Arabidopsis thaliana: one gene and its partners. The protein of the gene in region 4 interacts with the protein of the main gene of each other region in a biochemical or structural test. Each region holds a gene or a part of one and is shown on either strand. Other genes may lie near its edges. The genes, in order: AHP5, AHP2, AHP1 and RR5.

What was found.
Region 1: the proteins of RR5 (region 4) and AHP5 form a complex in vitro, tested with the Arabidopsis thaliana proteins (one study listed by BioGRID).
Region 2: the proteins of RR5 (region 4) and AHP2 form a complex in vitro, tested with the Arabidopsis thaliana proteins (one study listed by BioGRID).
Region 3: the proteins of RR5 (region 4) and AHP1 form a complex in vitro, tested with the Arabidopsis thaliana proteins (one study listed by BioGRID).

The regions. Positions count from the first base shown.
Region 1 is NC_003070.9:846,131-853,539, reverse strand, and holds AHP5 (histidine-containing phosphotransfer factor 5), read right to left. Parts: upstream 5,748-7,409; 5' UTR 5,382-5,747; coding exon 5,313-5,381; intron 5,174-5,312; coding exon 5,043-5,173; intron 4,899-5,042; coding exon 4,827-4,898; intron 4,733-4,826; coding exon 4,661-4,732; intron 4,543-4,660; coding exon 4,470-4,542; coding exon of another isoform or gene 4,413-4,469; exon of another isoform or gene 4,362-4,412; coding exon 4,305-4,361; 3' UTR 3,919-4,304; downstream 1-3,918. Other genes in the region: AT1G03440 (Leucine-rich repeat (LRR) family protein), read right to left, coding at 1-859; 2A6 (2-oxoglutarate (2OG) and Fe(II)-dependent oxygenase superfamily protein), read left to right, coding at 6,966-7,409. UniProt on the Arabidopsis thaliana protein: Functions as a two-component phosphorelay mediator between cytokinin sensor histidine kinases and response regulators (B-type ARRs). Plays an important role in propagating cytokinin signal transduction through the multistep His-to-Asp phosphorelay.
Region 2 is NC_003074.8:11,260,213-11,267,309, forward strand, and holds AHP2 (histidine-containing phosphotransmitter 2), read right to left. Parts: upstream 5,351-7,097; 5' UTR 5,197-5,350; coding exon 5,131-5,196; intron 4,912-5,130; coding exon 4,781-4,911; intron 4,701-4,780; coding exon 4,629-4,700; intron 4,546-4,628; coding exon 4,474-4,545; coding exon of another isoform or gene 4,470-4,473; exon of another isoform or gene 4,419-4,469; intron 4,406-4,418; coding exon 4,333-4,405; intron 4,224-4,332; coding exon 4,167-4,223; 3' UTR 3,914-4,166; downstream 1-3,913. Other genes in the region: AT3G29340 (zinc finger (C2H2 type) family protein), read right to left, coding at 1-388, 1,172-1,894, 2,013-2,228. UniProt on the Arabidopsis thaliana protein: Functions as a two-component phosphorelay mediators between cytokinin sensor histidine kinases and response regulator (B-type ARRs). Plays an important role in propagating cytokinin signal transduction through the multistep His-to-Asp phosphorelay.
Region 3 is NC_003074.8:7,575,972-7,583,721, forward strand, and holds AHP1 (histidine-containing phosphotransmitter 1), read right to left. Parts: upstream 3,819-7,750; 5' UTR 3,567-3,818; coding exon 3,507-3,566; intron 3,282-3,506; coding exon 3,151-3,281; intron 3,059-3,150; coding exon 2,990-3,058; intron 2,886-2,989; coding exon 2,814-2,885; intron 2,726-2,813; coding exon 2,653-2,725; intron 2,521-2,652; coding exon 2,461-2,520; 3' UTR 1,741-2,460; downstream 1-1,740. Other genes in the region: DXPS1 (1-deoxy-D-xylulose 5-phosphate synthase 1), read right to left, coding at 1-121, 203-319, 495-623; DMP1 (transmembrane protein, putative (DUF679 domain membrane protein 1)), read left to right, coding at 6,029-6,652; AT3G21530 (DNAse I-like superfamily protein), read right to left, coding at 6,857-7,131, 7,213-7,342, 7,416-7,623, 7,714-7,750. UniProt on the Arabidopsis thaliana protein: Functions as a two-component phosphorelay mediators between cytokinin sensor histidine kinases and response regulator (B-type ARRs). Plays an important role in propagating cytokinin signal transduction through the multistep His-to-Asp phosphorelay.
Region 4 is NC_003074.8:17,756,011-17,764,440, forward strand, and holds RR5 (response regulator 5), read right to left. Parts: upstream 4,941-8,430; 5' UTR 4,731-4,940; coding exon 4,580-4,730; intron 4,477-4,579; coding exon 4,397-4,476; intron 4,303-4,396; coding exon 4,225-4,302; intron 4,098-4,224; coding exon 4,027-4,097; intron 3,277-4,026; coding exon 3,102-3,276; 3' UTR 2,417-3,101; downstream 1-2,416. Other genes in the region: EDS1 (alpha/beta-Hydrolases superfamily protein), read right to left, coding at 1-283, 380-460, 557-1,288, 1,365-1,682; EDD1 (glycine-tRNA ligase), read left to right, coding at 7,101-7,343, 7,435-7,699, 7,938-7,993, 8,111-8,188, 8,344-8,418. UniProt on the Arabidopsis thaliana protein: Functions as a response regulator involved in His-to-Asp phosphorelay signal transduction system. Phosphorylation of the Asp residue in the receiver domain activates the ability of the protein to promote the transcription of target genes.

The DNA of each region.
Region 1 (7,409 bases), on a different chromosome or scaffold from region 4:
TCGTCACTTGATTCGCCGGCTGAATTAAACCGAAGAAGAAATTGCGTTGTAACTGAAGATTTGTGATCGGGAAGGCGAAGACTCGAGCGGGGATTGTACCGGTGAACCGGTTTAAGCTGAGATCAAGGTAGTTAAGCTGGTTCAACCGGAGTAAAACATGGTATACCGATCCGGTTAACTGGTTCCAAGCGAGTGAGAGGTATTGAAGCGACGGAGGGAGAGACGCCGGTGAGATTGAGCCGGTGAGGCTGTTGCGTTTGAGATCGATTCGGGTTAGAGTTTGTGAGAGAAACGGTGGTATTGATCCGGTTAAGTGGTTGTGGCAGAGAATCAAATTGGAGAGCTCCGGTAACGATCCGATTGACGGAGAGATAGTTCCGGTTAATTGATTATAGCTTAAATCCAGTGTTCTGAGACCACGAACCTCGCCGAGACTCGCCGGAATCTCGCCGGAGATGAAATTCCGGCTGATTGCGAGAAAACGAAGGTCTTTTAGCTGAGAGATTGTTGCCGGTAACGCACCCATGATTCTGCCGGGGACAATGGAGAGCTCAGTGAGTGCAGAGAGTTTGCCTATTGCTGGGTCGATCCGACCCGATAAACCGGGTGAACCGGCTCTAGGATCGCCGAGATTGAGAGAGATTACTTTATCTCCGTTGCAGTAGACGCCAGCGAAGCCGCATGGATCAGAAGTGAAATCCCAAGACTCGAAGAACTTGGAACCTGGCAAGTCATCGAGGGATTTACGAATAGCTTGCAGAGCCAAGAAATCAACTGGGTCGAGAATCGCCTCCGTGAAGAAGCCGAATCGAAGCAGGAACATCAAACACCAAACCAACTTGGTAAATCTCATCATCATCTTCTTCTTCTTCTTCTTCAGACTTAGCCGTTACAGGTTCAAGAAACAGAGACTATATATATACACAGAGGGAAGAACAGAGACGAGCTGTAAAGTAGAGAAAATGGGTTTTGTTTTCTGATTTCTCGTGAGAGGGAAAGTCTCTGGTTTATGTGGTGGAAAGAAGGTGTTCTCGTGGGAGCTTCCGTGAGAGCTTTAATGGAGGATTATCAATAAACGATTAGCAAAAGGAAGAAAAGAAAGGTTTATCGAGAGAAGAGAAAGAGAGTAAACAAAATGGCTTGAGAAGGAAGCCAAAAACCCAAGAAATGAATCAACGTCGTCGTCTGTTTCTTCTTTCTTCTTCCTCTATTTTTTGTTTCCTTTTTTTATATTTTATTTTGTCTAATAGTGTCAGTCTTTGTACAGAGAAGAATATACGAAGATAAGTATATATGTTAAGTTACTTCTCAATCAAGTTTGTAATCTAAACTCTAGATTATCTTTCTCTTTGTACTCACATCATAATTAATAAGAAGAATACATATTCTCTACAATCTACATGGTAAGTTAATCTAATATACAGTTTAACATACATACAAAGATACTTGGTAAATTCTCTATACTTTCATTTTCCTCTTTGTTCCGCTCTTTTTGTTTGTTTCTTTTGGTGGCTTGTGGTGGAAGACGATGATATGAAAATTTAATGTGTCGGACAAAAACACTAATTAGAATGCTAAATTAAGAAAGGTTATACATTTGGATTGTGTCAGTAAAAACATGAAAAAAGGTGCCTTCTTTTCTTTTAGCTGTGGTTTTTATGGGGAACAGGTAATATGGTAAAACGGCTGTCCGAGCCTTAGGTTCGTAAAGAAACAGATTAGGTTCGGTGAGAGAGACGATAAAAAGTGTGTCTTCTCGTCACGTGAGTTTTGTGTGCGTTTCAGTTTTACTGTTTTGAGTGACAGCTTGGACGAGCGAGATTTCCGTGACACGTCAGCTTTCTGGTTCGATAATTACTCTATTGTACTAGCTACTACCTTTGTTTTATAATTGTACTTTATTATTTTTTCCAGATATATTTTGCTCGATTTTAAAACACAAAATCAGCGTTACAATTTCATTTTCCTGATTGAAGTTGATGAAAAAATAAAATAAAGAATTTTCCTGATATTTAACACAAATCATAACGCATATCGTAGGAAGTTTAGCTTATGATAGATGGTTAAGTAATGGTCAATGTAACTGATGAAAGTTTTAGTCAATATCAACTTTGAAGTGTGTCCTAGTCTATATCTAACTAAGCTTTACTGTACTATATCCACTTCCAACAAATCTTGCGACCAAAAGTTTATTTCACAACTACTTTTGATTAGTTAAATGTTATAGTCCCTAGTTAGTACTAAATGTTTGATTCGCCATAGGGCTTCTTTGATGAAGTTATAGATTAACACATCTATCGAAGAAATGTTTCGTATACCGACTCTTGCATAAATCAACAAATGTTTTTGTCAATTGTTTTCACTCGTTTACATTTAGCCATTATACTAATTACTAACTTACTTCATTGACCAAAAAATATATAACTGTATTAATCTATATTTATATATGAAAGAAAGTTTTAATATTTTACGAATGAATAAAATGAATATGAGAAAGATGTAAAAGCTAGCTATGACAGTTAGATAGGTGAAAGAGAAAAAAAAAGATTTGTAAGGTTGTTCCAACTGTCTAAATTTTACAAAGGTAGCTGGCAAATGGTCCTTCAATTCCGTGGGCGTAAAGAAAGATAATTGGTAAAAAAGTTGGACAACGCATAAGAGATTGACTTTAAGTTTAAAAGCAAAAGGAAAAAAAAAGAGTAAATATGGTAAAAACAGTGACATGTTATATTTCTCTAGTTTTTACTCATTTGGTTTTTCACAAAACTTGTTGTTTGTATGTTAAAAAAAGGAATAGGAGCTTGGACCACAAGTTTTAGCAACAACACATGCATAAGATGGTCAGGTCAACATTTATAACGCTTACCCAATTTTAACATTTGTTTCACTACATACGCAAGCAACAAAATAGCTCGATATATACCTCTACTGTACAATCTTTTGCCTTGTGTACGTATATTAGCAGATTGTCTCTACTTTTGATGTGCATTAATTAGTTTCATAAGTGTAACTACCGTTTTCTGAAAATAATTAACTCATAGCGTACATCTAAATACGTTTCAAATAATGATTCGCTACTGATTCACATATACCAACCATGCATAATAAAAATGATTTAGTATTCATTCTAAGAGAGACTAGGTAGTGATGAGTAGACCAAATTAGATTTATGAAAAGAAAACTTGGCTTTGCAAGAAAGCCAAAGCAATACGTTCCAATCATAATGAACAAAATTAAAAAGGTCTAAACCCTAAGATGGTCCGCACTACGAGACAATTAACGCACTCGTTTTGGGACTCTTGTGTTTGTTTGGTGTGTCGTCGAATCCTCTCTCCATAGAAGGTAAGATCACATAGTAACCGATATAAGATTTGCTTTGACTTTTGAATCGGTTTCATGAAGAACCCTAAAACCAACCATGTTATAAGGATATTACAAAATTATTTTAAAAACATTGGTTGAGAGAAATAAAAATGATGAAGATGGATATGATAAAATGAAGGATAGAGGAGAAAAGCTTTGTTATTATTTGTTACATTACACGCCTCCATGCCTTCAATTTATGTTTCATTAGTCTCTTTCACTTCACATACTCTTCCTTTAAAAAAAAAAAAATGCTCCACCTAGTGATTACCATAGACACATGGCTTCACATTTTTTATTCCACTTATAAACAATCTATTGATAATTCTTCGACATTTTCTTTTTATTTCATTCCTAGTTTGAGGTAATTCGGACATTATATTAAATACATACCTAACAAGACATGCCCAATCCTTTCTCAATCTATTGTCACAATCATGTCTTATAAGCCCTATAACAATAATGTTGATAAAAGAGACCATGGAATACCGTTAACAAAATAAAGAGACCATGGAATCGTGTTATCCATAATTCAAACAAATCATTCTTGATTAATCCACACATAATGAAATCGTCTAAAGTGCTAACTAGTACCCGCATGCTTTACGGCTCAAATCAAAATCATGAATCCAATAGAGTATATCAGATTCAGAATAATGCTGAGAATTCTAAGTCATGATGGTCAGAACAAAGGCTCCAAATGGTGGTTGCATTGTGACAGGAATACATATGGACATGTCTATTTATAGACTAATAATTCAATTTTTACTCTTAGAACTCAATTAAGAGTCTAAACAAGACACGATATCTGGCCAGGGACAGTGTTGCTGAACCTCATTAATCAATATAAAACATAACAACAACAACAAAACTACAGAGGAGTTTCGGTTTCATTTGTGTCATCAGCCTTGAACATTTGCATAATCGAGAAACGCATCGGTCTAATTTATATCCACTTGAGGAATTGTACCTCCAGCTTGGAGGATCTGTTTCTCTAACTGCAACAACATAACATAACAGAAACAGAAGAATGAGAAGTAGCAAAAGGCTCAGTAAAAAGAATACACAAGCAGAACAAGTAGGTTTTCGCAAAGTTTAAAACTCACATTAAAGAGATCCTGAAGTTTAGTCTTTAACATCTTATATTCATAATCCACCTGCTGTAAACACCTTAGACACCTGTGCCAGATATCATTATCACAATTTGTGTGTGAATTAGAAGAATAGCTTCTCATATAATAAAAAAGTTTAGAGATCCAATAACATTTTGCATCAACAAGCTAAAAAATATACTCACCCTTCACGGTTCTGAACATCGCAACATTCCTTGAAAGATATGCACACATTTTTCACCCTCCTTGCACCGACACTGAGTACAAAGCAGAGACTGAGCCATTAAAATCAATGTAGTTTGGTCACTTAAAACTAGAAAAGCAAATTTAGCAGTGTTCACTGTGACAAACCTGGAGCTACTACCCTTGAGTTGATGAACACCTGAATCCACCTGTTTGAAATCCACATTATCTGGCCGCTCCCTAATGTTTATAATAAACTCATAAAATGCTGTCATGAATATATGAAGCTAATTTACACCCTCAAAAATGAATATGAAGGAGGATTAGAGACAAAGTCCCATGTTAGATAAAAAAGAGAAGCCTAAGAGAGTAAGCAAAGCTTACAGGGATATAGACATGGTATTAATAAGCTTGGAACAGTCGTCGAAGAATAGAGAGACAACTTCAGCTACAAAATCAGGGGTTCCTTCATCTTGCAACTTTCTCAACTCTGAGAACTGATTATCCAGAAATCCCTTCAAAACAACAACATATTATATCATCTTTATAAAAAAAATAAAAAAATTCAAATTCACACATAACTGCACCTTAAGCTTATCTAAGCCCAAAAGTGAGAATCCAGCCAAAGTAAGAAAAGTTTGGTTAGGAACGAACCTGTTGATAAAGAGAAACGATGTAGTCTTGAAATTGTCTCTGCAACTGAGCAACGACGATGGTGTTCATAGCTAAAGTTTACCAAGAACCAGACTTGTAAACAAAGATGGTAAGAGCTTCTCAAACATACATATACCAAAAACAAACAACGGATACGGTGAACTGTATTTCGACGGTTCCGAGATCGATCTAATCGGAGGTTTTTGGCTTAATTTAAAACAGATCCAACAACAACTAGGCGAAAAGACCAAAGAACAAACTTCCAACTTAACTAAGAGATTCCAAATTCAAAATCGGAGCGACACAGAGAGAGATGATGATGAATCTGATCGGAGCGTCGAAAGTTATAATTTATTCCACGTTCCGTTGACTGATTTTGACTTAAATATCAAATGGAGGGTTATTTTTGTAAATGACTATATTGTAGGAATTAATCAAGTACGTAAATAATATTTTAGTTTGTGGGGTGCAAATCTGATTTTATAGATAGGGAAGTTGCTAGCATGCGTTCTCCACAAACGAGATATCTTTTTTTTTTTTTTTTAAAAAAAAAGGTCCAGTCCCAATTGGGCTTAGGCCCGGAATTACAATCGTCCACAGTTACAAAACAGGAAAAATCCGGTCACCGGAAAAAGAGAACCAGAGGTGGATTTGGGCAGTGGAACGGAGGCAGCAAATAGATCTATTAGTACCGTCGTATACAAGGCCCACTACTTTGCAACACAACCACCGGAACGAGATCATTGGCCGAAGTATACGAGTCCTGCCGCAAATCTCTTACCAATGAGCTGGCCGGACCTGCAACAAACCTAACGGAAAAAACCCAGTTTCCGACACTCCGCCACCCAATTTGGTCGAGTCCCCAACCTCGCAAAACGACCACGCATTTCCAAGCCTCTGACCTCCAAAACCTTAGATCTGAAAATTTTCCAAAAGCAAAGCAACCTTCAATCCGGATTGATGGAGACAAAAAACGGAGGCTAAAGAAGGGTGATGGCTCAGACAACCCTTCAGCAACCGGAACCCGCAACAGCCATCTCAGATCCAGTTTGTTAACCATCAAACACGCACTGAAAACCCACCAATCCACAGCGTCTTCCGCCACAGCTACAGCGTCTAACCAAGTGGTTGAACCAAGAAAGACTTCACCGATCTCCACCGACGTCCATAACCAGGAAGAAACGGAAGAGAAGCCTCTCATCCACCGAGAAAGGGCCACCGCTGCCACGCTTACCGGAAAAACCACACCACTCCAATGCCGGAGAAGATAGCTTGCCTTACTCCTGCTTTGTCTTGCAAATTCATAACCTAAGATGAAGAACAGAGGCAGAAAAAACTAGATCTGTAAAAACTGGAAAAAACTTCAAAGAGAGAGAAAATGAACAGTAGCGGAACGATTGTCCAAAGTCCTCCAAACGAGATATCTTTAAATGTTGTTTTGCTAATTAGTGGCGTTTCGAGAGCTAGGCGAGCAACAATGGCGATGAGATTTAATATGGTAAGTGTGTAGTTAATTAACAAAAGTTCAAACCGGATGCTATTCTTACTTGTAAAGACAAACGACCAATTAAGAATCCAAATTTTAATATAGGAATTGAAATAAACTAATGGACCTTGTTTTTGGCGATTCATTTCTTTATTTGTTATCTTAATATGGGTCACGATTCCTTTTGTTATTTAATTGTATTAAGATGTGCATTAAGATGTGGAATAATAGCACTTATGCAAATCTGTGCATTGCAAAAAAAAGAAAGAAGAAGCAAGATGGAGTCAAGTGATCGTTCAAGTCAAGCAAAAGCTTTCGACGAGACAAAAACCGGCGTGAAAGGGCTTGTGGCTTCGGGAATCAAAGAGATTCCAGCCATGTTCCATACACCTCCGGATACTCTAACAAGCCTGAAACAAACAGCACCACCTTCGCAGCAGCTGACGATCCCCACGGTGGATCTGAAAGGAGGAAGCATGGATTTGATATCGCGGCGGAGCGTGGTGGAGAAGATTGGAGACGCTGCGGAGAGATGGGGATTCTTCCAGGTGGTGAATCATGGGATCTCGGTGGAGGTGATGGAGAGGATGAAAGAAGGGATTCGCAGGTTT
Region 2 (7,097 bases), 6.5 Mb from region 4:
AGCGAGATTTTTTCTGTAGTTTCCTTCTCAAAGGACAAGGTTTAAGCTCTAAATCCATGAAACCATCACCTAGAGGCAAATTACTGATAGAAGCAAAGTCATAAACTCCTTGACACAACATAACCAAGTTCAATGCAGCTTCAATCACCTCATGTTTCTCAATCTCAGCCATAAAAGAAGATCCTTTGAATCGATCAAAAGCTGAAACAGAGCAAACCCTAGACTTCTTCTTAAGACCCCAAATCCTTTCCAAACCATTCTCATCTTCGATTCTATTGTGATTACCAGAATGCATCCTCTGGTGACCATACACACCTTTTAAAGTTCCAAACTTTCTCCCGCATGTTTTGCAACCATGAAGTCTCTGAGACATTTCGCCGACAAAAACCTGAAAATTGAAACAAAGCTCATAGCTTTTCCGTTTGATTTTCTCGAGAAAACAGAGAAGAAGACAAAGATCGCGAAGAAACACACAAAATCAGACATTTCTAAGAAGAGAGTGATCATGTTTCGCTAGAAACTTGAAAAAGTCTAAAGCTTTTTCCAGTTTATTTTCTCGGGAAAATGTGGAAGAAAACGAAAGAATAATCGCAAAGCAGAGAGCTTGATTAGCTTACCAGAACAAAATCTTCACTTGATTTTATGACTCAGGAAGAGAAAGAACACGTTTTGACCTAATCCGAAGAGCTGAAGACCTTAAAGAACACTTTTTTTTTACTTATCGCAGAGTTTGTAGTATCGCTTTCGATCTAAGCTATTGACAGACAACAATGGAGAAATTTACTTGTTGTGGAAGCTAATGAGTCTATTATGCAAAAGAAAGAAGACAGAGGATAGTTATATCCTACACTCACGCGTATCATAAACTTGGTGCTCCCTAATCGCTAAACCAATTAATTGGTTTAAGTAATCAATTTTGAACTTTGGATTGGTTCTGTATCTGAAAACATGAGTTAACCAAAGAAACTGTATTTGAACCAAGCAAGAGGAAAATGTTAAGTATACATCTGCAACTTCTGTACTTAGAAGAGAAAAAGATTCAACTAGTAGACTAGCGAGAAAACAGTTCACTGAAGTCTTGTTTTGACTCAACACAATGGAAGGTCTTCTCATGATAGATTTCAATGCTTGATGGTAGTGAAGCAAACTTGCTAGCTTCTGAGTCAATCACGCCAAACAGTGAAGTACTATCTTCAGTTTTCTCATTTTTACGCGCTACTTTTTTCACTTTGATCGATTTGCTGCAACTAATAGACTTGTCGAAACCCGAGTGAGCAAGCAGTTCACCGAAGTCTTGTTTTAACTCAACACAATGTAAGATCTTCTCCTCCTGAGAGACTTCAAAGCTTGATGGTTTTTTAACAATCTTCTTAGCTTTTAATGAGTCAGAGAATGGATTATAGTCTTCAGTGTACTTCCTTTTACACGCTAATTTCCCGCTAATCTCTCTGTGAACTCTTTTGTGATTACCTAAACCTTGAGAACACACAAAACTCTTGCCACATATTTTGCAATGACAGCTTGATTTCCACTGAGTTTTTGTCTGCAATTTACTTCTCAGAGTAGATGGTAATGCACCCGAATGAGAAAGCGGTTCACTGAAGTCTTGTTTTAACTCCACACAATGTAAGAACTTCTCCTCCTGAGAGACTTTAAAGCTTGATGGTTGTGAAACAATCTTCTTAGCTTCTGATGAGTCTAACAGTGAATTCTCATCTTGAGTACTCGCTAATTCCCTCTTAGTCGATCTGTGAAGTTTCGTGTGGCCACCTAGACCTCGATAACACCCAAAAATCTTGCCACATACTTTGCATTCATAGCAGGAGCTACTACTCTCAGGTCTTTTCTGCAACTTACTCTTCCGAGGATATACTTCACTGAACTCTTGTTTCGACTCAAACACAATCTAACATCTTCTCCTCTTGGGAGACTTCAAATTTTGATGGTTTTGAAATAGCATCTAAGGACTCAAACAATGAATTATCAAATTTAGTATACTCCCTTTTACGCACTAGTTTCTCTTTAATCGGTCTGTGAATTCTTTGGTGACCACCTAGAGCTTGATAACACTCAAAACTCTTGCCACATATTTTGCATTTGTGACTTGATTTACTCTGCAGATTACTTCTCAGAGCAATAACACCACTGCAAGTAGTAGACTTTTCGAAACCCGATTGAGAAACCATTTCCCTCAAGTCTAGTAACAACTCAACACCATCTAAATCCATGGAATCATCATCATGAGGAGACAATTCAAAGCCATACTTTTTCTGAAAACAAAACCAAGCTCATTGCAGCTTCTTCTTCCATCTCATGCTCCACAATAGTCTCAGTCATAAAAGAAGTTTCTTTTAGTGACACTGAAACCGAACAAAGACCCCCAAATCCTTAGCAAACCGAGTAAACACCAGAATCAATCCTCTGGTAACCACATACATGAAGGTTATGGATTTTGCCACCAAGATGAAAACTTTCATCTGATTGAACCTGTTTCAGCATCAAATACGTTAAACCCACAAGAATCAAACACAGGAGAGTGAGAAGAAAACACTGAAATTGTAAAAAATCGTGAGCTTTTTTCGAGAAAATAGGGGAAGAATCAAAAGAATGTAGAAAGATGAGAGCTTTGATCAGCTTACCAGAGCAAAACACTAACTTGAATTTAGGTATCAGGGCCTGAATCGCTGAGCTTGATCTGCAGAGAGTCTAGCTCTCGCTCAGCTTTTAACTCGTAGAGACTGATGAAAAAAGTTACTTGTTGCGGAAGCTATGAAGGCTATTTTGCAAAGAGATAGTTATCTCCTACACTCGCGTCTACAACTAACTACGTGCTCCCTAATCTCTAATTTTTTTATTGGTATCTTTTATATCGGTAATCTACGTTGGTCTAAAACCGGTTTGTGATGTATCCCAAAATGATTATCACATTTTCTTAAATGTCCATTTCGGAAAAAAAAGGGTCTATTTCCAAACTATTACCAGAGTTCAAAGTATGACTCCGATCTATAATTTTATATATCTCTAAAACTAAAGTTCTATACCTAGTTTTCTCCCTAAAATAAAATTTCTATATACAAATCTCTCCAAATTAATAGTTCAAGATATATCAACCCACAATTATTGGTTTCATTGGTTTATTAACGGGATAAATGTCATTTAAATCATCACTTTACCATTTCCGTTGGTTTTGAAGCATAAAATCTCGATCTAGTGATTTAAATCCTCAATTTTATGTTGACGTTCAATATAATCACGAATTCGTTGACTAAGCCAATTAAGGCACATCGTTAGAAATCTTTCTAATCAAAATTTTTGATTTTTTCTCTCTTTTTCTTCAGAATCTCTCATCTTCTTTGGAATTTCTCTTCTTTTTCGAATTCAAAGTAATATTTCGTCTTAAGGTCGATTGACGACATCGAAAAAAAGAATTTGTGTCTCAATTTGCTTAGTCAACAAGAATTTGTGATTAATTTGAAAGTCAACATAAAATTAAAGATTTAATTCACCAGATCCAAAGTTCATGATTTAAACCAACGAAAATGGTAAAGTGATGATTTAAATGACATTTTCCCCGTTTATTAACTACATGCTCCGTAATCTCGTCGAAAGCGGTTTGTGATTTATCCTGAAAGAATTACCATATTTTCTTAGAATGTCCATTTCGGATATCGAATGGGTAATGGTTTAGATTTAGGTTTTAGGGTTTACGATATTCATATTCTGATAAGGAGACAGGTTGTAAAAATTTGGAAAGTCACTACCAAACTTTTACTAATTTGAGTAAAGGTCAACTTCGAGACAAATAATTCAGATAATTACGAAAACATTATGGGCAAATTTGGGAAACTAAAAGATCTAAACACACAATTTTTAGAAGCACCCACTAGTCAAGACTTACTTAGTAATCACTATATCTTACTCAAACCAAACCTTTCAGAAGCAAACCAATATATATTATCATCACATTCATTAGTCCAATGGTTTCAATTTTCTCGGATGAGATCAAACAATACATACTACTGATTTATAAACAACCATCACTTGTTTTTGTTTCTTTTTGCACATATTTTATTGAGTTTTTGAGCAAACACCAAATCCAAAATAATTTAGAAGAGAAACTAAAGAAAGAAAGTCATCATCTTTTTTCTTCTTATGGACTAGTCTCTTTAGTTAATATCCACTTGAGGAACTATACCACCAGCTTGAATGATCTGTTTCTCAAGCTGAAACAACAACAACAACAACAATGTCAATGATTTGTTCATTACTCATAACCAAAATGATTCATTAAAAGCAGAGCCAAAAACAGAGATGGATTCTATTCACACTCACATTGAACATATCTTGAAGCTTTGTCTTTAACGCCTTGTACTCAATATCCACTTGCTGCAAACATCTCACACACCTGTAACATAACATGAGACTATTATTACTCAACCAATGAGTCCCAAGAGAAAACCATAACTCGCTTACCCTTCGTAGTTCTTAGCTTCACAACATTCCTTGAAGCTAACACACAAAGTTTTGACCCTCTTGGCACCAACACTACATAGAAACAACACAAAGCTTTTCATCAATCAACAACACACAACTTCTGCTACTTATATAAAGCGAGACATGATACATACCTTGAGCTACTACCCTTCAATTGATGCACACTAGCACCTACCTGACTAAAATCTACAGTTCCTGTCGTGTCCCTGAAATAGAAGTAGCCACAATCACACTTTAAGACAACACAAGCAATGATGATCTAGCTGAGAGAATATCAAAAACTTACAAAGCTCTAGCCATGTTACTGATAAGCTTCACACAATCTTCAAAGAAAAGTGAAAGCACTTCAGACACAAAATCAGGACTTCCATCATCTTGTAGCTTTTTCAACTCAGTAAATTGATCATCCAAAAACCCCTTCACATAAAAAAAACACAAACCCATGAATCTAAAGTTCCAACCTTTACACAACTCAAATCCCTAAAAATCATAACTTGTAAAAATCTACATAAAGATTCAATCTTTCTTCACTTTTGTCATGAATCTATGCATATAGGAGTCAATCTAGTGTGTATATGAGCTAAATTAGCTAAGCAAAGAGATGAAATTGGGTTTGAAGAATTGTGGAATTGAAACCTGTTGGTAGAGAGAAATGGTGTAATCACGAAATTGTCTCTGAAGCTGAGCAATGAGAGCGTCCATGAGAAGAGTGAAGCGGAGATTGGGAGAGGATTTTTTTGTTTGGACTTTGATTATTGACTTGGATTTCTGGAAATAGCCAATCCCAAGAAGAAGAAACTTGTGTTTTGTCTTTCTCGCGAATTGTAACGCTGCTACCAGATTTTTTTACTTTAAATGGGAAACAATAATTAAAAGAGAAACACACAAATATTTGGACATTTTTATGTATTTATTTATTTGGGTGAAAAAAATTAAATAGAGAATTTTCATAATTAACATAATTTTAAAGTTTTTTTTGATAAAAATACCATTCAAAAGTTTTGTGAACATAAATAACACTCAAATAATTATTTAATTTTTAATTATTACAACTAACATTTAAAAAAATACAAAAATTCATACCAAAAATTTTCAACAATATTTTTCTACAAAATAATTTCCGTCAAAATTTTTCCACCAAAAATAATTACGCCGCCCACATTTTACCTACAAAAAAAAATTCAGAATTTTTTTTACAAAATATAGGAAAGATTTTAAGCAATTCAGGAAAGGTTTCACGAAATTTATAATTTTTTTCTTTTGTAACCCTTCCTGAATTTTGTAGAATTTTTCCTGAATTCCCGAATTTTTCTTTTTCGAAATTCAGGAAGAATTTTACGAAAATTTTTTTTGTAAAATCTTTCCTGAATTCCGTGAAATCCTCACGAATGTCGTAGTTAGCTTCCTCAAGTTTTTTTACAAGAAAAATTTGACGGAAAATTTTTTTTGCGGGAAAATTTATTACCGAATTGTTTTGGCAGAAAATTTGACGAAAAATTTTTAGCGGAAAATTTTTATTTTTATTTATTTAAATAAAATTAATTATTTATATTTAATATTTAATTAAAATTTTGAAAGCTACTTGTGAAATTTTTCAAAAAGTTGTTATTTTTGGAAGAAAAAATTTTGTTGGTGCTATTTTTGTCAATCCCAATTAAATATTTTTTTTTTGGGAAACATTTGGATTCAATACAAGTTTTTAAGTAAATTATTGGTATTTGGTTAATTAATAAAAACTCTTTTTCTGAAAAATATAATATGAAACACTCATTTAATAATATTAAATCTAATTTAATTTTCTTATATAAAAGAAAAATATCAATCTTATGTTTCGATTTACTTGGAAAAATTAAAGTATTTGACATTATATTTTCTTTTCAAAGACCCAAAAAAAAAAAAAAAAAATTGCAACTTATTATTTCGATATTTTTAAATTACAATTAGACTAACCATTTAAAAGAAAATTTTGTGTATAAGATTTTTAATATTATTCACATATAGTTTTTTATGGTATCAGAGCTATATGTGATATGGTAAACTATTCACATTACAGATTGGAATACTCACCCAAGTTATGTAGCCAACTTCGGTGTGCGTACCTAAAAGGTTAATATGTGGTCACTAGTACTGTAAGGAATGCCTCTACGAATGGATTTATGCATATTTACTTAAACAAAAAATACCAATCGCAATGAGAGACATACAAAAACATAAAGCTTTAAATATGGAATCGTTAGGTGTCACTCAGAAATCAGAATCTCCAACCTGGAAACTTTTACAAGATGCGTTTGGTTCCTAATCCACCAGAGAAGAGATATCATGTGATTCTCTATGAACAATGTGCAAATATTCTTCCGAGTCAACTCTCGCAGACAAAGCTCAATAAGTGGCAAAACTTTCAACGATTAACTACAAAGTACAAACACATTTTACTCCAATATAAACCAATATTTATTTAGTTTCTAAGGAAACAACAAAATTGAAGCGACATTGTCGAATACAAGTCCTCTTCGACCAAAAAAATATGAAAGTAATACCAAAAAAAACAAAACACACACCAGAGAACATAACAAACATATTGTAAGAAATATAACAAGTCTTAA
Region 3 (7,750 bases), about 10 Mb from region 4:
AGATGTAATGAAGGGCCACGGTGAGCTCAACAACACCAAGATTCGAACCCAAGTGTCCTCCAGTTTTCGAAACATTAAAAATAACATCAGATCTCAACTCGTCCGAAAGAACTTTGAGTTCCTACATAGCAGAACACTTTTTCATCATCACATCCTTGATTTGACACAAAACAAGGTTCAAGACTTGGATTAGGATTTATACTTTGATGGAGAGATTTTTCATGTGCATTGGATGGTTGATTGTGTCCAATAAAGGAGTTGGTGGTCTGTTTGAATAATATTCACCTTTCTCTGAAAATGTTGTTGCTCTTACTTTTGACTGAACCAAAAAAAGATGTTATGTTATTTTCAATTAATTCAATAACTTTCACAAACTTAACAAGAACTAGTGTACGTATATAGTTTCTCACGGATAATCTGCAGAACTTTGATAATAATGCAACTTCATATAGTAATCAATAAGTAAAAGAGGGAAAAAAGAAAAAAACTCTTACATATTTTGTAGAAGACATAGAAGAAGGTTTAAGATATTTTAGTGAAGGATTCCTATTTATGTAAGAAGGAAAGGCAAATACGGAGAGAGCCATTTGAGAGAATTTGTTAATCTGTGTTTGATATGACATTCCAACGTATATATAGTGGTAGTATCAATAAAATGTAAAGCTTACTAATCGAACTCTTTTAACACCTTAAATCCACGTAGAAATGTATTTTGTACAAATTTAATATCAAAATTTTAGAGAATAGCTTTCTGTTCACACACATGTTAACGTCTTATTAAAGTTTACGCTCTTTAACAACGGTCTAAATTCATTTGTCCGCAAGATACACACCTCTTATTCCCAAGTTAGATGTTGGTATAATTCAAGGTATATGATTTAATTTAAGTGACAGAAAAATGATAAATAATTCAGACCACAAAAGTTGACCACAAGTATTTGGATACATAAGCCTTATTTAATTTTCACTATAAAAGTAGTTAAGCACGGCTCTATTGCTCGTCTCAATCACATCGACGTGATATTTATATTATTGGGGATAGTTCAAATAGAAACTTAAATCAGTAGCCGTCAAAAAAGTAGTGTATTGACTAATGTACTAATCCAACGGGAATCACTTACACCATATTGTGGCTTTGTGGGAGACTTTAATTAAGAGATGTTTGTATGATAATTACATTACATATCTGTACTTTCAAATCTACACAAAATATACGTAGCGTAACCTAACACATTAATGAATAATGATGCATGTATAATGTGTTTCATGTGTGTTGAAAGTTGTAACTAGTGATTTAGACTACAGATAGGAGAAAACTTAATGGAATTATTCAACCTATCTCTTGTCTTGATTACTGATTAGTCTTCTTCTTCTATGCATATATTTTCACCAAAACATGCTTCCCTTTGGATACTATGCATGTTTGAAACAATAAAATAGGAATAAGATATTGATTATAACCAAAAAAAAAAAAGTGTTATTTACCCTATGATCCTTATTTAAATTTGTAATCGATAATAACAAGGTGGAAGAACATATAAACATCATATTTTTGTCATATTGCATAATTAATGGTATGGTTCATTATACATACGAAATTACGAACTGGAAATCTTAATTATTATTGAAAAGACAAAAAGGTCACTTGAAAACAAAATTAAACAGAAGGTACAATTAAAGGAACTAGTAAAGTTATGAACAAACGATGAAGGGAACGCTCATTCTTTACCCAAAAAAGTTCAAATAAAAAAGATGGAGCACTAATTAATACGAGTATAGAGCAATACAAAGTTATAAGTGGTAAACTAGAAGTCTAGAAATCGAACATGAGGTTATAAATTGGAGCCATATATAGTCGACGACAGGTCACGGATCTGTAAGTAATTAAGAATTTTGTCATTATTTTATTTTTAGCTACATTATTTAACGTGCACTCACATAGTATAACTTTATTTTTTTCTTAATTGCATTGTATAAATGTCTGAAAATCTTTAGAGATTCGTCGAAGTGCAATCGTAATAAAAAAAAGATTTCCAAGATCATCATGGATGTTTAGTACGGGCCCTTTGTTATCATCTTGGGCTACTAAAATTCATATGGCCCATCTGTGTTCTTTGGTCAAGGACTACAAGACTTCTAACTACTTCTAACAGTTACAGTAAAACAACAACCTAATACCTAACCAAGTTGTCCGGATCACATTACCTTGATGCGTACATTATCTTGATCAAACTCTATATAATTGTAGTCATGACTCATGACTATATGTTTGCTTGAGATCTTATTTTACATATGTGGGATTTAGATGTGGATTAAGAAACGTTTTAGCATGTCTCACTCTTCCAATGGCACAAAGAAAGAAGTTCACATAAGAACCTTTTTTTGATAGTCACATAAAGAGAGGAAGAAGAGAGAGTCCAAAATGAAACAACAATGGACAGAGATGTTTATGAAATTCACTCAAAATCCGAGTTCGACGGCCGGGATCATTCCACCAGAAGCTACAATCTGTTGCTCCAGCTGCATAGATTCGATCATCAAAACCAAAATTGAATCAGATAAGTTTCAAATGTTGATCAAAATATTGTATAACTAGATAAGAGTTATGTGGGTGGTTTTATAAAAAAAAAAAAAGTCTCTTTGACTTTTTACCTTGAACAGAGTCTCTAATCTGTTTTTCACAAGATAATACTCTTGCTTCACTTGTTGCAAACATCTATGACATCTGAAATTTTTCAACGATGTATTTTCCTAATCAGATCTTAAAACAAAGAAATAACGAATGGACCAACGAACATATCGATTAAACTCACGCTTCGACATTTTGCTGCTCGCAGAAGCTGCGGAAGACAACACAAGCATTCTTAACTCTCTGTGCTCCTATACTGTTATTTTTTGGCAATATATATTGTTACACATTTCAAGATCAAGAAAATGTCATTATCATTGGATTAAAATCAGAAATAGCCAGTTTTGTTTTTGTTGTTACCTGGAGCTGCTACCTTTGAGTTGATGAACATGGGGATCAACTTTTTTAAAGTCTACAACTTGTTGATCTCTGCCCGAAGCATAAAAAAACAGTGAGAAACACAAGTTTTGGAAAAGAACAAAAAAAAAAAGATTAAAGAGAGAATGTGTAAAGAAGATTACAGGGAAAGTGAGAGATCATTGAGAATCCTATCAGAGTCTTGGAAGAAGAGTGTGACAACTTGTGAAACAAAATCTGGATTGCTTTCATCTTGTAGTTGTTGCAGCTGCAAGAACTGGCTGTCCAAAATCCCCTTTTTTGTATTTACCCAAAACAAAAGACTTTCCATAATCAGAAACTAATTTTACATAACCTAAACTCATGATTATCTTACCAAAGAAACTACAAAAGCCTAACACATTTTTACTATAAGTCCTAAAACCATTTTTACTACAAGTCCTAAAACCAGAAAGAAAAAGTTGTGAACGTTAAAACAAGTTTTCTGATTATTTGATCTTTTCAAATGTGAAAAACTTACTTCTAAGAAGAGTGATTTGGTGTAATCTTGCAAACTCTTCTGCTTCTGAACCAAATCCATATTCTCTGTTATTTGCTTTTGTTCTTTATTTCTTTGTTTCTCTCTGCCAATAATGGAGGTAAGAAAATGTCCAACAAAATCCTCAGTACTTAAAAGATGAGAACAAAATCCTCCGTATCAAAAAACCCTATTTTTTAAATTTAAATAGTTTGTATTTTATTATTACAATTTTGGTTTGGATGTGAGAAAAGAATCCAAAAAGAAAGAAACTCTTAAAGAATGGAAGTTGGTCGTGCTGTCAACTGTCTAACCATTCGCGCCTTTTTTTCCTCGTTTTTTTTGCAAATGTGATAAAGACATAAGAAGAGCATTTGATACTTCTTGATTTGTCTTTTTTTTTCTTAAGATTTTAAAACATTTTATTGGTTCGAATATTTAAATTACTGTACTACTGATGAAAAGCATATACTAATATGCACAGCTCGCATTCAATGTATCTTTCAAATAGCATCTCTAGGGAAACTTTATTTGTAATATAATTTTGATTTGATCCTCATTGTTTTTGTCCAACTAGCAATTCTTTTATTATAATAATACATTGATTGGTTAGTTTATTTTATATTGATGTATCACAAATATCGTAACGTAATGGGTTTATCAAGGAAATTGTGACTTTGAGAACTCAAATGCCGCCTAACACTTTGTAATGTTGTTCAAAACCAAAACTAAATGCAGCTTATAATTTCTTTAGTCATATATCTCGTCCAATCATTTGGTGGAATTCTTATTAAACTAGGATTTATCATATTTTGTGTTATACCAATATTTTTCATTATAATCAACCACTTATCACAATTCAAATGTTTTTTCGTGATTTCTCAAAGCTTTTCTATTTACTCGTTTGTCACTTGCTCTATAAATTTCTTTCAACTAACAATATTTCAAAACAACCTAACAATATATATGCAATAGCTCATATCCTTTCAATCTTTCATAGAGTACTACATACAATATATTTTTACGTAACATTTTCAACTACAACGATCAGCACACCAGTCTCATCTTTTTCAACCACACTATTTCTTCATTTGCATATCCCTGGTATTTTCGTCACTCCAAATACTTTCCCAATCATACTCATACACACCATTCTTATCTATTTCCTCATGCACAGTAAAATGACAATTTTTTCCTTAGACAATTCGTATTTTCAATAACAATTTCAACACGTCAAGCCAAAATAAAAATAGTAAATTAGTTTCACTGTATTAATTTCTGCAAATTTGGGTAAACATCAACGCTTTGACACGTCTCACATGATGAATGGACATGGGACATGCAAGAACGTAGGATGCGTTTAACGAATGGCATAAAACGTATTATATATACTAACTAACCAAAGATTATTAGTGGTTCTTACTTGATAATGGGTCCATCGTAAGAAGGTTCCATCACTAATTATGGACCTTTCAAATCTTATTATGAATTTTGATATCTTACATTATATTATCTCCGTATAAAAGTTAAACTGTGCTTCCTTAGTTTTTAACAAATTTATACGTAAAAAGTCAAGAAAGAGTTTGCACTCACCCATATCTCCAAGCAATTTATTATAAGAAAATCCTTATAGCCAATAGCCATATCAAGTTTTTAAAAAGGTTTAAAGCTAGAATACAAGTCGCTGTAGACGCAGCCAAATACGATATTATTTACTAAAAACAAATAAAAGGTAAACATGCAGAACGAGTTAGTCGATTTGTTGGTTCACTGCCAATTTCAGGTTAAGTTCAATTTACACAAGTAAAATAAATTAGTTGTCAATTTTATCTCGTGTATGGGCTTGGTTGGTTCAACCGCAAACAAAAAGAAGAAAAAAGTGAGTTTAGATATTAAAATGGTGTATTTACATTTGTAACACAATACCGTAAAAACAATCCATGTTGACGTAATGGTTTCACATACGATAAACACACTTTTAGATCATGTAAAATACAAATGCATGTAAACGTAGATTTTAAAACACAAGTCCATATTCTCTATCAATTTTGTGTTATCACGTTTACAAATTATGTTTGATAAAAGAAAACTAACCGCATTTTAACATATAAACACAAAAACAACACATTCAAAAGACATTCAAAGTCGTTGTATAGTCTTAAAATTTTTACGGATCCATAAGAGAAACTTCTCTTTAGATTCAGTCAAGATTCATCACCAAACGTGTGCTTTATTCGACGCCTTAGAAATTTCTTCGCATTTAGTTCCAAAACTCAATAACTTATCGAAGAAATTATAATCAACCGTTTTAGAAATTATTGAGTCTTCGTGTGTAGACATATAGACAAAATTTAAAATAGTTTGACTTAGTCAATGTTATTACCAATTCTTCTACGGTGTTAAATCCAACATCTCGGACCGGATCAATGATTTATCATCTCAAAATTGTTTTATAAATACCGACACACGTATCAAGCCAAGAACATACTTTATAGTTTATACATCTAACTCTAAGGTTCAAGCTCATGTCCGAAACTTCTTTGCTCATACCCAAAACAAACTCTCCAGCTTCATCAGAAAACATGGCAAACACAAACAAATCCCTCACAGGCCTAGAGAGTCTTATAAAGCTTCTCCCAACGGGAACACTCTTTATCTACCTTCTACTTAACCCTGTCCTCACTAACGACGGTGAATGCTCCACAGGTAATAAGGTCATGTCGAGCATTCTTGTCGCCCTTTGCAGCTTTTCCTGCGTCTTCTCATGCTTTACCGATAGTTTCAAAGGCGTTGACGGATCAAGAAAGTTCGGTATAGTCACCAAGAAAGGTCTTTGGACTTACGCGGAGCCAGGATCCGTGGATTTATCCAAGTACAAGCTTAGGATAGCGGATTTCGTTCATGCGGGTTTCGTGCTGGCTGTGTTTGGTACACTGGTGCTGCTTGACGCTAATACCGCGAGCTGCTTTTATCCTCGGTTCAGGGAAACACAGAAGACACTTGTCATGGCTTTGCCTCCTGCCGTGGGTGTTGCCTCAGCCACTATCTTTGCTTTGTTTCCGAGCAAACGAAGTGGAATCGGGTACGCGCCAATTGCTGAGGAGGTAGGTGCTGAAGAGGAGACCAAGAAAGCCTCGGTCTCTGCCTAAGATCGGTTACCTCAGTTGTTTCTAAATTATTTGTCAAGATTTGTTGTAGATTGTACAAGAATATCATTGTTTACTTAAACTTTTATTTAGTTCTTTGTAAGCATAGCTATTAATATGTAGACTAAATGTTGTATTGCATCTTAATATGATGGGAATAAACGTTATCATATACACAAGTGTTGTTTCTTAATCAGTGTCCAAACTTTATGAAGACATCAGATTTCCTAGTTTCCATGTATCTTTCGACATCAAATTAGCTTTTATCTGAAAGATCTTCTGCTTTGCTTTCTTGCGTGAATGTTTGAAGTTACCTCGAGATCGCTCTTTGGTTATAACTAAATCGACTTTGACTATATGATGATCAGAAGTACCTTTGGAAGAAACAACTGAGTACGAGCCAGGAACAAATTCGTAAGGTGACTCTGGAGATGCCAGAATGTAATCGACCCGTGTCCCGTACTTGCATGTTCCTTGTACATCTGCATCAGATCAAGAATTTCACATATTAGTACTATTACTACATTGAACTTTGCAAGTTAAGAGAAAATGGAGAAACTAACTTTGTCCTTTGGCAATAATGACTACAGGCTCACATTCTCCTGCAAATTCTTTTGAATCCAAGTATCCTTTTCCCTTGAGAAACCTCATCACTTCAACTCTAGGCGTCGGCTTTCCAGAATCCTCGTAATACTGTTCTTACAATACATGGTTTTTGGTTATATATGAGACCAACTAAATAATGACTGATCTAACGAAATTGTACCTTTACGATGTGGTTCCATCTTGCTATGGAATAATCAGAGCCATCAAGAGAATTCAAGCCTCCAAGGAGGATGTGGGGAGATTCGTCTCCTCGAGTAATTGCATCGATCTGCTTCATACGCCAGTTCTCATCTAGATGGTCAAGTTGAGTACAATACACATTTACATCTCCAGCCCATGGGATCTCTACAGTCACCTTCAACACATTCCTGCACACGCAAAAGACATTTACATCAACAATGATATAGTGGGAAGAGGAAAATCAATGTAAGATAAGCAAAAGAGATTTTTTGTATTACCTAAAATCATCTACATCAGCAATTCTCTGAACTCTCC
Region 4 (8,430 bases):
TTGCAATATCAAGAGGCTCAACTAATCTGCGGTATCGAGTTGCTAACTTGATCCAATCTATGTCCCCTTCGAACTCATCTGGAAGTTGACATTTCTTCATTAAACCAAGCACCTCGTCAAAAACACCGGCTAACTCAGCTCTCTTGACGTTTGCTTTGAAGTCATTCTCTTCATTTGAAACTTTGAAGGAATCATAATACCCATTTTTATGGGCTTGACACTTTGGCTTGTATTCATCTTCTATCCATGCTAGTTTCTTTAAAAACCTCTCTTGCTCGATCACCTAAAAACCACAGAACCAACAAGTTTTATGTTGTTAGACACAAACAGACGAAGCACGTACCTGCATTATTCATGAACAAGCTTATCAACCACAAACCTGAATAATCTTCTTCTGATTCTCTACTCGTTTCTTCTCTTCCTCTAATGCAGCTTGAACGTACTGTCTGCCTCTTGTGCTCTGCAGAAAAAGGAAACACTCTGAAGGGTTTAAATGATTGCAAGAATGGAGCTATGGAGCTGCACAGTATGAAAAGAGAGAGAGAGAGAGACTTACCACTCCAAGGTCATTGAGCGTAGACTCTATTGAGTTTTCTCCATCCAAATGATTAAACAACTTCTTTCCCATCGACTGTACCAGTTCCTCATAGCTATGATGATCTCTGATACTTCGAAATGGAATTAGAGACCATTCTTGTTCATCGCTGGCTTGAGAAGTGTAAAACAGCATTTGAAGAATGGCGTCCGAGTTGTTCACTGCAACCAATCTCTTCTCTGTAGAGAAAACAAAAGTACCGGCGGGTCTATAAGGACTTAGCTCAAGGAAACTAGAAAGGGTCTCTAAAAACGCCTCTGCGCTTCCAGTCAATTCACAAACAGCTTGGTTTGCAACAGTTGATGTGTCTCGCATCACCCTTGTGTAAAACTCTGTTATTCTCTGTTCACTCTCTTGGACGGAAGACTTTCTGGGATCCAATTGGGCAAGAACATGAGGCAAAGTTTCCTCTACAGACGCCTTTCGAGCAAGCATAATCCGAGGGACAATATCGAATCTTGAGACAAAGTTCACAAAGAACCGGCTCCATTTTTCTCTCCCAAGTGCGTGACTGAAGATAGAGTCACCAACCAAAGGAGCTCCAAATGTCACACAACGAGGCTCAAGGTAAACATTTGGATTGCGTATGAAGTATTTCTCCAAATACCAAACTGTTGCTAAGATTGCAGTTGCACCTCCTGAGGAATGTCCTGTGAACACTATCTGTTTTCTACTCCTCACAGCCATTTCCACCTGAAGAAGTAAAAGCATAAGAGACCAAAAAAGAAAAAAAAAGAAAAATATATTCGGATGTTTTCAATCTTCTTACAGAAGCTTGAAATGAGGTTCTTGGATCAATGATAGCTTCAAGATTCTTGAGGAAAGCTTCGTTAACAGTAGCTACATCACCTTTACCGATTTTCCTCATACAAGGAAACTGAACACGGTTCAACTTGATTTCTCCAAAGGAAGATTTATTGTCCGGATCGAAGAAATCTTTCTCTGAGAAAGATGGTTGGAAAGCGAAGATTACGACTGCTCCTGCTTCTTCCTTGTGATAGCGCTCGGTTAGGTAAGCTTGCTTCGAGGCTGACCATGATCTGGTGATTAGATCACCATTGATTCCGGTAAGAGCTTCAAACGCCATTGATCTATATCTATTCTCTTTTCTTTAGTGGACTTTCTTCTCTCTTTTTTCTTTTGAATCGTCTTGCTTCTTTAATCCGCTCCTACTCTGTTAATTTATGGGAAGATGTAGACAGGACTAATTAGTTACCCAAAATACCCCATCATGAGACCATTTCAATGCAAAAATGGGTTTTTTTTTTTGGAGTTGACTCTTTGGCTATTGGAGACTCATGAAGAAAGAAAAGCTAGGAATCTTAGCTTTCCACGTGTCGGTTTTACATTGGTGTATGGCTTTGTACATCCGACATGACTGGAGTTTCGCAGAAACTTTCATAAACATTCACATTTGGTCGGAAAGTTTTCTCTGTGTAATCTTTGCTTGGAAATTTTGTAGCTTGACTTTGGAGTCTTCGTCTCTTTAATATAGACTCCATCTTTTGGTTTGAGATGTCACTCTCGGTTGGGATTTCGCAGTAACTCAATGATATTCACTTTTTTGTCGGAAAACAATTTTGTTGTTTAATGAATGAGGAGATTTGTTCGCTTGGAGTTAAGTTTTTGTAGCTTGACTTGGGTTTTCAGATTTGGTCTCGTATAGAAGAAATCTACTACTTTAACTCTGTTTTGCTTATAAATCTTATCCGGAAAGTAAACCGGATAATCTACAAGATATGGAACCGGTTCGATTTCTCTCAGCTGAATATTAACCGAATTAACTAACTACACCTTCTTGCCTGGTCCGTTTTTGCGTTCGGCAAGACGCGTCACATTCGACTTTTACTTGTTTGATTATGAAGTTACATGAACCGGACTAGAAAAATTTAGTTTGTTTTTTTGGCTAAACCAAATTGCATAACCATATTTTGCTTTCAGATAGAATGAAAAAGCCTAGGAGACTAAATTAACAAAAGAAACAAAAAAAAGTCTAGGAGACTAGAATTTTCTTGGTCTTAATAAAACCCAACTTGGGGAAATTTCTACGAAAAGCCATGTAAAGTGTTCCAACCAACGCTTAAAATAACTAACTTATCTCGCTGGATTCGATTCATGTAGACAGCTTTATTTTAATTAGACAAAAGATTAGCTTGTCTTCGTGTAATGAACGGTACTAAACTACTAATCCATTCCTAAATCATTATTTAAGTAATCTTAACAAAAGAAATTCATATGTTAACTTCCAAAATAACACACCACCATTTTACATATCTCTCATGTAAAGAAAAAAAAAATGTATCTCTTCTCCTCTCTAATGAATCCAAGTCTACAATTTACATTTCTATCTTATAAAAACCCATCTTTGTCACTCTTGATCAGTCTTGGTTCTATCAGCAAAAGAAGCCGTAATGTCTCAAAAATTGTAAGCCGAAAGAATCAGGACATGCATGTGTGTGAATCTTTGAGCTTTTAAAGAACATATCGTACGTGGAATCTGATAAACTCAGATCTTTGCGCGTTTTAGCTGCGAGTAGATATCATTAGCTTCAAGCTCTCTCTTGTGCATAATATTCTTAAAAGCTCTTTCCTCAGCTTTCATTAAAGAATCTCTTAATCTCTTCACATCAGCTAATTTCACAGGCTTCAATAAGAAATCTTCAGCTCCTTCTTCAAGACATCTGAATAAATATAAGGAACCAAATGTTAGTGATCTAATTCCATAAAGTTTATAACTTTGGATACAGAAAATGGCCAGCTCATATATGATAATCATTAAACTTAATCTGGTAAAGAGGGTTTGGTTCCTTAGTAATAAGCAAAGGCATGTGAGGTGTCTATCACGAGGATTGGGATTTTATAAATGACCCTACCTAAGATTATGCAACCCAAACAATTAAAACATATATTATAAAGTTTTGGAGGGCCTAACATGTCACCGGCTTATATAGAATCAAATCTCAAGAGAAGATCTTGCTTAACTTATGATGGATTATTCTTTTCTAAATTTATGGCCACAAGATAAATTTTATTATTCCTAAGATCCATTTTAAAAATCATTTTAGGACCCACTAAAATAAACACCAAATCTCAGCTTGATCAAATATACAACCACCACCAAAGTTAACCCCATGATAGTTAAAAAGTAATCATATAATAACCTTTTCTATCATAACAAAATCTTGTGATTATACAACAATTTAATTTAGTCAATACATATCCTTTAACGGTAACTTTATCACAAATCCTAAATTAGTGTGATTACTTTAAAAAGTTTCCTAAACAAACAATACCCTCTAAATCTAATCATCCCCATCTCCTGAAGTAATAAATGCACAAAATCTACTATATTTGGTAAATTTTGGTCCTACATAATCTTGACCTAAACAAGAATTAAGGATCATAGTTAAGATTATTATAGTAGAATATACCTATCGATACGAGGCAAGATGTTCTCTGAAGACATAATCACAACTGGTATTTCTCTGAAAGCTGATGATTCCTGTTAAAAAGTTCAAAATCCATAAACAAGATTAGATCAAAACTTCATTTTTTTTTAAATTTTTTTTCGTCAAATCAGAACTTCATTTTAATTTTGTGAAAACAATTGAATCATCAACAAAACTTACTTTGATCTTCTTCAGTAGTTCATATCCAGTCATCCCAGGCATAGAGTAATCCGTCATTATCAAATTAATCTTCAGATCCTAAAATATAATTTCAAACCAAAAATCTTTTAACACCAAATTTGAATGGATTCTCACTCTCAAAAATATTAAACACAATGATCAGATTTATTACCTCAAATCCAACCGAACTATTATTCTCTCCATCTAATCCAAGATATTGTAAAGCTCTTGTCGCACTATCGACAACAGTAACTGAGACAGAACAAAACTAATGTCAGATTCTTGTACTTAAACAGATTACACAAGATAAACAAACACAACACTTTTTTTTGATAAACACAAACACAACAGTTACCTTTACAAGATGAGACTCTGAGTAACCGCTCGATGAACTTCCGATCAACCATACTATCATCAACAGCAAGAACATGAAGAAGTTTCGGTGATGCTAATGAAGAAGTGTCGTTAGAGATATCTAACATCTCGGGACGCAAAACCTCAGCCATATCAAGAAGAGTAGGATCGTGACTCGTGAGAGAGATAGAGAGAATCAACTATGAGGATTTGATTTTGCTGAGAGATGAGAGGAGAATAAATGGATTTATAAAGGAAGAAAGAAGGAGAGGGAAAAGAGAAAAATATGATATGGGGAGAGGATTCTGAGAGATCTTTGCATATCTGTGGGATTTTGTCTGTCTGATAGCGCGTGGCTAATTATTTGTTTATTCTGTTTTCTTCTCAAAAGTCATATTTTCAAATTTTGGCTAAACTTCAAATAAAAATAAAATCAAAGTCATAAAGTTTTTTAATATTTTTTTTGTTGAGAATAGTCAAGTAATGGTGAGTGGTGAAATCATATGATATGTTTGATTTGGGAAGGGAAATAAAATCAATTTTGGATGAGGGAAATCGTATCATGACGATCTCTCTCGATTATTGTTGTCAAGATCATGGCTACTTTGATTCATTTCTTTTTATTTTTGTACATTTTCGATACTTTCTTGATTTTCCCATTTTTCAAGAAATGTACCACAGAGAGAAGATTTGTATTTCAATCTACAAAATCTTTGAGATTGTTAATTAATTAATGAACATTGTTGGAAAAGTTAGCTGACATGTGACCGCCAGATTGACTATTTGGGCGAATGAATTTCAATGTTGATATCTCTAGTTGCGCAATCAGATAAATTCAAGATCCGTATGTGTATATTTCTAGAAACAAAACAAAAAATCATTATTTTTCAAGTTATTGTTGTTTGTCCATCTCGTAACTGTACCATAATAGTTGCCTCTACTATCGATCGTGGTCGAATGGCATAAGATTGATGAGTTAATAGTAAGTTTTCATGAGTGTTCAAAAAAAAAAAAAAAAATAGTAAGTTTTCATGAAAATAAAATTTCAATTCACTTTTCTTGAAAAATATTCATATGTTTACTTGAATTTTAATTCGCTTTTTCTATAAATTTGGCGTTCTTTTATTCACATATTTAGCAACACGCATCGAGTATTTCCACACGTGAGAGATCTTTTGACAATTGATGGAAGGCTTTGTCACGACAGGATCGAAGATCTATGGACTAAACTCGACCAATATATTTCAAGAATGGTAATGACTAAATCATCATTGAAAGCTGAAAATATGACTATGATCGATGTATCTCTAGAGGAGATATCAAATGAATGTGAGGTACTAGGTGTATAGAGCACATGACCTTACTATATATGTCAAATTTGGTTTGGCTTGCAGAGAAACGGCTCGGATTTCTCCATGATGGTTGTTTATCAGTATGTATATGCGTGTCCCTTCAGAGTAAGTCTACACGTTTTCTCTACTTGTATATTTGGAAACAACATGAGTTTACCGATGAAATTATTGTTTTAATATATATGAGTGTTTTGGCTATGTACATGAGTCCGAGCTTAGTGTCTATCATAGTCAAAGATCACAAGATACATTTATAGAACTTACTATTGTTTGATCAAAGAAATTAAGTTAACAATTCATAAATAAACCTCTTAACAGTTTATGGCAAAAAAAAGAAATGCCAGTAAAATTTGTTAGGCACCAAAACATTCTATAAAGAATAATCCTAATGGTCTCGGTTTTTACCTCTCAAATAGTATGAGAGGCTGAAGACAAATATGCTTTATTGGTTTCCTTACAAAAACCAACGAACTTTCGTGTTAACTGTCTATGTGATATGAATTGGTACATGCATGTTGTTGTATTAGGTTCTTTTGGGACATCTGATAAAATTGGGAAGATGTTAGCATGGTCTAAATAAAAATGTTCTTGTATTATACTTAAAAAAAAAAATCTTTTCTTTGTGTGTGTCTCAATTTCACTATATGACAAAGGAAAATGTTATAAAATGAGAATCAATAAGCTAATATATGATTATTCAAAATTATATTCGGGGTCCAAATTTTGATTTCTCTACGTACGTAATCTTTTGATATAGAAATTTTAAGTTATGGATTACAAATACTCGATTTATTTTATGAATTCTCCTATTCTATAAATAATCGTGAGTAACTGAATTACTTATATTCAATTGTTATTCATCATTCATTGATTATATATCTGAAATTATTTAATAATTATCTATAAATGTACAAGATTATTACAGCTTACAATTTTGTTTTTGTTGCTTAGTGAATTTACATTTTAGACTTTTTTTTTTGTCAAATACATTTTAGACTAAATGGTGTTTTCTTTTGAAAAAATCATATAGTTTAGGTCGAACCGCGAACTCGAGAGAGAGAAAAGAAAAAAGGAAGAAAGGATAACACAAAACCTCTCTCTATCTCTCTCGTCTTCCAAAAATCGAGCACTACACATTGACTCTCTTCTACAAAGAGTCTGGTCACACTCATGGCCATCCTCCATTTCTCTCTTCCTCTTATCGTCTCTTTCCTTCGTCCTCACGCCTCTCCTCGCTTCTTCCTCCTCCCTCGCTCTCTTTCTCAGTCCCCTTTCCTCTCCCGCCGCCGTTTTCACCGTACCTCCGCCGTTTCCTCCGCCGCTGTTCATCACCAATCCTATCGTAATCCCGACGATGATGTTACCCGCGCGGTGTCTGTTCCTACATTCCAACAAGCGATTCAACGCCTCCAGGTTCGTTCGATTCTCACTCATCTCCAATTCTCTACTTTCAAAAGTTCGACGAATTCAAATTGAATTACTCTCTTTTGTTTTGAAATTGAAGGAATATTGGGCTTCCGTTGGATGTGCCGTTATGCAACCAAGTAACACTGAGGTCGGAGCTGGCACCATGAATCCTTGTACCTTTTTGAGGGTTCTTGGTCCTGAACCATGGAATGTTGCTTATGTTGAGCCAAGCATACGTCCTGACGACTCTCGCTATGGAGAGAATCCCAATAGGCTTCAAAGACACACTCAATTTCAAGTCATATTGAAACCTGACCCTGGAAACTCTCAACAGCTCTTTATCAACAGTCTTTCTGCTCTAGGTACTGATTCTTTCTGCCTTCTCTTTTGTTTCCACTTACATGTCTTTTAACAGAATAGGTTCCTTTCCTTGTAGATGCACAATTGATTGAATTTTTCACCCTGTGCTGGTTCTGGTTTGTGGTTTTATAGTGTTAATTTTGATTTGCTTAAGGTTTGATTATGTGAAGGTCGTCTTTATGTTTCATTAGGAAGTTTTCTCATCCAGATAATCCTTCCCTTACTATTTTTATGTGTTAGGTATTGATGTGACTGCACACGATATACGGTTTGTAGAAGACAACTGGGAGAGCCCGGTAATGTGTGAACCCATGTTTTATGCGTTTTCCATCTCTTTTAGTTTCTCATTATACTCTCAGCGTGCAAGTGTCTGATCATGTGAATGACTGCACACGATATACGGTTTCTTACAGGTGCTTGGTGCTTGGGGGTTGGGCTGGGAGATTTGGATGGATGGTATGGAAATCACACAATTTACTTACTTCCAGCAGGTAATTTTCATTTTATGTAAACATTTCTAGAAATTAACTATAGACTACGGTTTGCATTTTGGTTTCTTAGGGTAGATTTTATCTTTTGTTCTGTAGTATATTTTCTGCGTCGGTTGTTAGAAAACAATATAATTGTGAAGTTTGCTTCTTTCTAGGCTGGAAGTCTTCCGTTGTCTCCAGTATCTGTTGAAATAACTTATGGGCTTGAGCGCATCATCATGTTACTTCAGGTCAGTCTTATA